Linked DNA regions of Macaca fascicularis. The protein of the gene in region 1 binds, or shares a complex with, the protein of each later gene. Links are inferred from orthologs where the notes say so. Each region holds a gene or a part of one and is shown in the gene's direction. Other genes may lie near its edges.

The links.
Region 2: RNPS1 (region 1) and SAP18 share a complex: the UniProt entries of both Homo sapiens proteins name them as parts of the heterotrimeric ASAP (apoptosis- and splicing-associated protein) and PSAP complex. The link is inferred for Macaca fascicularis from reciprocal best matches to the Homo sapiens genes RNPS1 and SAP18.

What each region holds. Positions count from the first base shown.
Region 1 is NC_088394.1:3,040,692-3,045,001, reverse strand, and holds the start of RNPS1 (RNA-binding protein with serine-rich domain 1), read left to right. Parts: upstream 1-1,500; 5' UTR 1,501-1,558; coding exon of another isoform or gene 1,559-1,560; 5' UTR 1,561-2,752; exon of another isoform or gene 2,753-3,490; intron 3,491-4,310. UniProt on the Homo sapiens protein: Part of pre- and post-splicing multiprotein mRNP complexes. Auxiliary component of the splicing-dependent multiprotein exon junction complex (EJC) deposited at splice junction on mRNAs.
Region 2 is NC_088391.1:793,855-797,792, reverse strand, and holds the start of SAP18 (histone deacetylase complex subunit SAP18), read left to right. Parts: upstream 1-1,132; 5' UTR 1,133-1,144; coding exon 1,145-1,273; intron 1,274-1,478; coding exon 1,479-1,588; intron 1,589-3,938. UniProt on the Homo sapiens protein: Component of the SIN3-repressing complex. Enhances the ability of SIN3-HDAC1-mediated transcriptional repression. When tethered to the promoter, it can direct the formation of a repressive complex to core histone proteins.

The sequences.
Region 1 (4,310 bases):
TCATGCTGGTTGTCTCCTCCCAAAGATCCGCTTGGATCTGCTTCCTTCTCCCTTCCTTGCTGCCAGGAAGCTGTTCAAAGTCGGAAGCTGAGCACACAGTCAATCCCTCCACAAATAATCAAAGGGCAACGACTACCTAACAGGCACAGCAGTGAACAAAACCCGGCCGGGGGCGGTGGTTCACGCCTGTAAAGTAATCCCAGCACTTTGGGAGGCCAAGGCGAACCTAGGAGCGAGCACTTTTGGAGCGAGCCTGAAAGCCTAGGAGCGGATCACGAGGTCAGAAGTTCGCGACCAGTCTGGCCAACATAGTGAAACCCAGTCTCTAATAAAAATACAAAAAATTAGCCGAGTGTAGTAGTGTGTGCCTGTAATCCCAGCTACTCGGGAGGCGGAGGCAGGAGAACCGCTTGAACCCGGGAGGCGGAGGTTGCAGTGAGCCGAGATCGCACCGCTGCACTTCAGCCTGGGCAACAGTGCGAGACTCTGTCAAAAAAAAAAAATTCCGCCGCGTCAGTGTGGGGCGTTGACGCGGAGCCTCCTGCCTGGGCCCCTACAGCGTCACCCCCTCCTCTGTGCCTGCCAGAGGCGCCACCTCTGGACTCTCCCAGAGTCGGACCCTGGTCGACAGTGTTCCCTGCTCGGACCCTGCACCGGCCGTTAGATGAAGCCTCGGCGCTGCGCCGTTCACACGCTCCGTGCTGCCTCCACTGAGAATTTGGCGCGGGCCTGCGAGCCTGTGCCCCGGCCTCCCTTCCCTGCTTCCAGCGAACCTCGGCGTCTGCTGTTCCCCCGCCGGGCGCGCCCTTCCACTCTAGTCTCAGCGGCAGTGTCACCTGCCCGGAGACGCCCCCCGTTGCACCCCATCTCCCATCCTCAAGCTCGTTGCTCTTCCTGCCCGCACAGCCCGCCTGCAGCGCCCACCCTGGAGGTCCGCCTGCGCGGAGGCCGCGTCCACGAGAGCACCCCAAACGCCACCAGTGGGTTTTGACCGCAGGAACGCAAGTCCTGCCCCAGCCCGTCTCTCCGAGCTACTTCCGCCCTGCAGGCCCCCACGCCCCGCCACGCAAGGCCGCAAAGGCTGCGCACCCCTCCTGTGCGACCACCCTGCCGCCCTCAGCACAGCCGGGCCTGGAGCCCCGCCTCCACCGCCGGCGACAGGGGCCAGAATCGGCCCGGGCGGGTCCAGGGAGCCCGCGCAAGGAAAGGGGCGGGGCACGGCCGCGATAACACCCTCCGCTCCGGACGACGAGCATCGGTTATCGCGCGGCCCTCCCAGGCTCAGCAGGCTACCCATGTGCTCGCTCCAGCAAGCGTGCAGCCAGTCCGGTCAGTCCCAGGGACTTTACCGGCGAGGAGACACCCTGAACGTCCCCAACGCGGCTACCACAAACTGCCTTGACTGTCTAACACTTCCCCGCCGGCGCCCATTGGGCCAGGCGTTTACGTCATCGCTACGCGCCGGACGGCGGCGTCTTCCCGCTCCTTGACTCTGACGTCAGAGCGGCGCCGGCCTCGGAGGCTGAGGAAAGCAGGAGGAGGTGGTGGCGGCGGGAAGATGTAAGTTGGGGCGGAATCCGACCGCATCCGTGTTTCGGGGGCTGCCCGTCAGGCCCGGCAGGACGCATCGTGAAGCCGGTCCACTTCTCAGCCCCGCAGTGCGGCGGTGGCCTGGCAGCGCGGTGCGGGCTCCGAGAAGAAAGAGTGTGGCCCGGGGCGGGCGGAGTGGGAGGTGTCGAGGCCGTGGCCCGGAAGTGATCGGGGCCGCCGCGGACGGAAGGGCGCCTCTGCTTCGTCCGCTCGGCGGTGGCCCAGCCAGGCCCGCGGGACTCGGAGCAGCGGTGAGCGCGGCCTCCGTTCTTGGGGCCCTCCCGCCGGGCCGGAGACCCAAGCCCCCAACGCCAGGCGCTGCCCTGGAAGCGCTTGCGGCCCGGCGCCTGGACGGGGAAGTTGTGAGTGAACGCGGACGGGGAGCGGCGAGGTCGGCGTGTCGGGCCGGTGCCGGCGGGCGCGGAGTTTCTTTGTGGGATGCGGTGGAAGGTCGGCCGATCCATCCTTCGGAGTCATTAATTCAAACGTGTACTCCGCGAACGTTTCCCGGACTCCCGTGTGCAATTGTCGGCGCTAGGCCGTGGGGATACGGCCCACTATGGACCGAACACGGTGTCCGAGCTCAGTTTGATGGGTTATCCCAGAGGGGTGGATACGGGAAGGTTAAGGTTGATGGAGGAGAAACGTGGAGTAGGCTTTTTGTCTTGATTTCTCATGAACTGTGCCTGAAATGTACTCTTAAATGGGGAAGGTGCTCTGAAGATTTATGCCGAAACGCCCTCTCCTCGAGATTTAACTAATTGTTCTCTCCTCTCTCTGGCTGTTGGACGCGCACCTTTCCGGAGGATGGGGGAGGTAACCGAGGTCCTGAGCCGGTACCTGAACTTGGGTGAACAGAGAACCTCAACTTTTGCTTTCTAGCACTCGACCGCACCCAGCGAGCCGTCCGCTTACTCAGTGGTTCTTAGTGTTTGGACTGCTTGAGAATAACTGGTGGTGTTTGATTCCACAAAGTACATTTGGGCAGATCTTTAAGTCTGGGGGGGTGGGGCTGAAATCTGCGGGTGTGACCTCCACTCTAGGTCTGTGCTGTCCAGTGAAGTAGCCATTGGCCACATGTGGCTACTAAGCATGTGAAATACAGCTCATCAAAACTGAAATGTTAAAACACATACCAGTTTTAGAAGACTATGAAAAAAAAGTAAACTTTTATTAGTAGATTTTTATGTTGATTATATGTTGGAAAGATAATATTTTGGATGTGTCAAGTGTTAAAAATTTCACCCATTTTTGTGATGTGGCTACTAAGGAATTTCAGGTGATGCTTGTGGCTCCTCACACTGTTTCTATTGGACATTTCTGCTGCAGGTGATCCTAAGGCAGATGAGTGCAGGAACCCTGCTGAGAGTTCAGAAATTACGTGTGACTTTGGAGACAAATGTCTGGGGGAGGGAGGAGCCTTTACAAATCTTGCTCCTAACATTATTGAGCTTTTCATTAATGCCCTGGGTAACTATAAAGTTGGAATTGTAATTGTCACCATATTGATAAGAAACTTGAGAAAGGTTAAGTGACTTGTCGAAAATTACACCGTAAAACCTCAAATCAAACCCAGGCCCTCTGGTTGCAGACTCTGAATTATACTCTGAATGATACTCACTGACTGTCCGAGGACACCAACAGTGTCGAGGCACTATCTGCTGGGTGTCTGCAGAACCTTACTATTCTAAAGCAAAACATGATACCCCCGGACAAGAGCAGCAGAGGTGGTGTTCGGCCCTCCTTGGCTCATTTGACTGTTTAAAGCCAGGTGCTTTTCTTTCTTGGGTCAGAACACGTTTTCAGCAGCATTTTGAAGCACCCCTGGCAGGTACTGCACAGGGAAACCAGGACCCCATTGGTGTGCTGTGTCCTCCTTACCAACTGGCTCTTGGAGAAGGTGAGACAGAAGTAGCTGAGACTCACATCCTGAGAGCTGCACTTAACAACTCCTGCAGCTTGTGCAGAACTTTACTGGAAATACTGAAGGCGTCCCTGGAAAATAGGGCCCATAACTAATTAGTTTGCTTTTGAGTAATGAGTAACCGCTATTTGAACACATTCTGCAGTCCAGGCATTTTGCTAAACTCTTACATGGCAGGCAGTCTCTCATGCAATTTCAGTGCCTACTTTTTTTTCATCTTATTTTTGAAAAATTTTTAAAGCACAGGAACGTCAAATTATACAATTAATACCCACATAAAGACTACTTAAGGGCCAGGTCTGGTGGCTCACGCCTGTAATCCCAGCACTTTGGGAGGCCAAGGTTGGCAGATGACAAGGTCAGGAGTTGGAGACCAGCCTGGTCAATATGGTGAAACCCTGTCTCTACTAAAAATACAAAAATTAGCCAGGCTTGATGGCAAGCACCTGTAGTCCCAGCTACTCAGGAGGCTGACGCAGAAGAAACGCTTGAACCCAGGAGGTGGAGGTTGCAGTGAGCCAAGATCGTGCCACTGCACTCCAGCCTGGGTGACAGAGCAAGTCTCCATCTCAAAAAAAAACAAAACAAAACTCAGAGGTTAAGAGTCTGTAAGTTATATTTCTGCTGTATTTGCTAGATGGTTTTTATCAATCTTAGTTTTTCTTTCAATCTTAGTTTTTCTCAATCTTAGTTTTTCTTTCAAAGTAAATTGCAGACTTGCATGTATTTTCCCCTACACTCAATATGCATATTATTAAAGTACAGTGCAATTACTGCTTTTTAAAATGATTCTTCT
Region 2 (3,938 bases), on another chromosome or scaffold:
GCCGTTTTTATTTTTATTTTTATTTGTATTTTTAGTGGAGCCGGAGCCTCATCGTGTTGGCCAGGCTTGTTTCAAACTCCTGACCTCAAGTCGGGAGTCAGGAGGTCAGGTGATCCGCCTGCCTCATCCTTCCAAAACGCTGGGATTACAGGCGTGAGCCACCACCACGCCTGGCCAGAGTTCCTAATTTTTGCCAATCTAGTGGGTGTGGCTTAAAAACCAGTCAATTGAAACTAATCATGGTTTTAATGCATTTCCCTGATTTGTAATGCGCTTGCTCACCTTACATGTTTGTTGCCTCTCTGGATTTTGTCATTTCCAAAGCACCTGTTCAGTAATTTTATCCATTTTTCGATTGGGTTGTCTGTTTACATCCTATATATTCTGGATAATTGCCTTTGTCAATCATATGTGTAACAAATTTCTCCCACTCTGTGGCTTTTTTCTCTCTTATGATGTATTTTTTTTTCCCACTTTTCAGTCGTAAGATGATATCACTTTTAAGTTCAGTCATATACTTGGCATTTTGGGTTCATCATGGAGTTTGTTCATCACGGAGTTTTGAAGGTCAGATTATTTTTGTCCTAACCCAGTCAAATCAATTGCTTCTCGTTAGTTTTTTCTATCATATATTCCCATCCATAGGTCCTGAAGATATTCTAGAACGTTATTTCCTACAAGTTCCGGGTTTCCTGCTCGCATTCCGGTCTCTAAGCCGCCGTGTATGTGGCTGGAAGGATCGCTCCATGACCACGTACGCTGGCGACGCCTCTTCCGGCTTACCTCAGGGGCGGGTATGGCGGACCTGTTCTTTTATCAGAAAGATCTATATTTTGCTAATAAAGGAACGTTTTGTGTCCAATAAGGTTTTCGTCATTACGAGTGAAAACGCCACCTTAAGCTTATTTCGCCTGTGAATATTTAAGGGAAAAAAAAAACACCCCGGCAACCAACTGCCAGGCGACGGAGGCTAAACCGCTCCTCCCCACTGAGGCCAGCACCCACCTTTTCCCGAAGTCGCAACACGCAGGCGCGCCCGGCTCGCACGCCACGAACGGAAGTGCGCCTGCGCCAGGATACGCCCCGCCCAGCCACTGCCCGACTATAAAGTGTCGAGCTTCTCCTCGCGAGAGACTTCGTGCTCATGCTCGCTGCAGGGGTCGGAGGTCAGGGCGAGCGTCTAGCGGGCCGTAGGAGGAAGATGGCGGTGGAGTCGCGCGTTACCCAGGAGGAAATTAAGAAGGAGCCAGAGAAGCCAATCGACCGCGAGAAGGTGAAGGTCCCCTCCGCTTTGGGGTCCGGGAAGAGATTGGGGGTGGGCCCGGCAGGGTGCAGAGGCGCGGCCTGTGTGCGGGAGGAGACGGTGTTTTTGGTATCCGGACGGCTCGGAGGCCGCAACGCCTCGGGAAGAGAGGTGAGGTCCGGGCTCGCAGCTGGTGTCTTTAACTTCTGCCGTTCCGTTTTTCTCTCGCCCTCAGACATGCCCACTGTTGCTGCGGGTCTTCACCACCAATAACGGCCGCCACCACCGAATGGACGAGTTCTCCCGGGGAAATGTACCGTCCAGCGAGTTGCAGATCTACACTTGGTGAGGAGGGCGGGGGCGGGCTCGGACCCGGGCCGGGAACCTGGAACAACAGTTAATTGCCTTTGCCAGTGTAGAGAGTTATTCTCCTTGATTTAAATTTCATTCCTCCACTTGGGGTCTTCAGGCTCAACTTTCGGGAAGTTAGAAGTTTTTGTTGTTAGGTGAAAGGAGATTTGCCTTTATTGTAACGCTTTTGTGATTAATGTTGCAACTTTTGGGCGGTTAAGAATGCACAGACCCAAGATTTAGCACTGTTATGGCTGCTAGGTACAAAAGTGATAGGTAGATGATTAAGTTGTAGTATCCGCCCTAAAGGGACTCATGGTCAAATAAATTGCACTAGGACAGCATGGTAAGGGAGAGTGATGCTGTCGAGTGGTGTTTGTTATTCTCAAAGAGCATTTCCACGTAATATTAAGCCTTAGGTACCAAAGCACCAAAAGTGAAAAATAAACTACCAAAACCCGAGTTATTATCTAAGGGTTGATGGAAGAGCTTTTGGTGTGTGTTTAGTGAAGATGGTTCCTGAGTGTTCATCTCTTGGGTGTATCTCCCTACAAACTACTGCCGGCTTGTCTTTAGCGCTGCACATAACTCCTTGGATTGACACCATAATGGGTTTTTAATATAAGTAAAAGGTGTGTAACTGAAAAATATATGTATATGCTATATATATATGTGTGTGTGTGTATATATATATATATTTTCAGACGGAGTCTTGCTCTCGCCCAGGCTGGAGTGCAGTGGCGCCATCTCCGCTCACTGCAGGCTCCGCCTCCCGTGTTCACGCCATTCTCCTGCCTCAGCCTCCCCAGTAGGTGGGATTACAGGTGCCCACCACCACGCCTGGCTAATTTTTGTATTTTTAGTAGAGATGAGGTTTCACCATATTGACCAGGCTGGTCTCGAACTCCTGAACTCAGGTTGTCTGCCTGCCTCGGCCTCCCAAAGTGCTGGGATTACAGGTGTGTGAGCTACCGCGCCTGGCTTAAAATAAATTTTTTATTGCGATAAAAAGTTATATAACAAGCCATGCACGGTGGCTCATGCCTGCAATCCCAGCACTTTGGGAAACTGAGGCTGGCGGATCACTTTAGGTCAGGAGTTTGAGACCAGTCTGGTCGGCATAATGAAACCCTGTGTCTACTAAAAATGCAAAAATTAGCCTTGTGTGGTGGCATAGAATTGTAATCGCAGCTACTTGGGAGACTGAGGCAGGAGGATCACTTGAACTTGGGAAGTGGAGGTTGCAGTGAGCTGAGGTCGCGCCACTGTACTCCAGCCTGGGCGACAGAGCGAGATTCCGTCTCAAAATACATATGTGTGTGCATATGTAACAAAATTTGCCATGTTAACCATTTCTTATTTCTTGAGTCTCACTCTGTCGCCCAGGCTGGAGTGCAGTGGCGCCCATCTCGGCTCACTGCAACCTCTGCCTCCCGGGTTCAAGGGATTCTCATGCCTCAGCCTCCCCAGTAGTTGGGATTACAGGCGCCCACCGCCACACCTGGCTAATTTTTGTATTTCTAGTAGAGACAGGGTTTCACCATGTTGGCCAGGCTGGTCTGGAACTCCTGACTTCAAGCGATCCGCCCGCCTCGGCCTCCCAAAGTGGTGTAGGATTACAGGCGTGAGCCAGCGTGCATGGTCATTAACTGTTTTTAAGTGTATAATTTGTTGGCATTAATAGCATTCAAATTGTTGTGCAACCACTATTTCTACAAGTTTTTATCCCTCCCTCCAACAGAAAGCCTGTACGCCATCCTGCCTTGTTTTAATTTTTAAAGAGATGGAGTCTTGCACTGTTTTCCAAGCTGGATTTGAGCTCCTTGGCTCAACCAGCTGGGACTACAGGCACACACCACCATGCCCAGTGTGCTGGTAACCTTTTAAGGACACACCGTGCCTATTAAAAAATAATTTCCCATTCCTCCCCCGCCCCATCCCCTGGTAGCTTCTAATGTATTATCTGTCTATATATGAATTTGTCTATTCTGGATATTTCATTTCAGTGAACTCGTTACAGTGTTTGTCATTTTGTGACTGGCTTATTTCATGGTGTTTTCGGGGTTGATGTTGTAGCATCCATTCAGCCTTGTCAAGACTGAATAATATTTCATTGTATGTGTGCATCACATGTACTCATCTATTGATGGACACTTGGATTGTTTCATCTTTTTTGCCATTGTGAATAATGCTGCTGTGAACATTGGCATACAAATGTGTTTGTGTCCCTGCTTTCAGTTATTTTGGGTATGTACCTAGGAGTGGATTACTGGGTCATATGTTAATTTTGTTTAAGTTTTGAGGAACCATCAAACTTTTTCACAGCAGTTGCACTATTTTATAT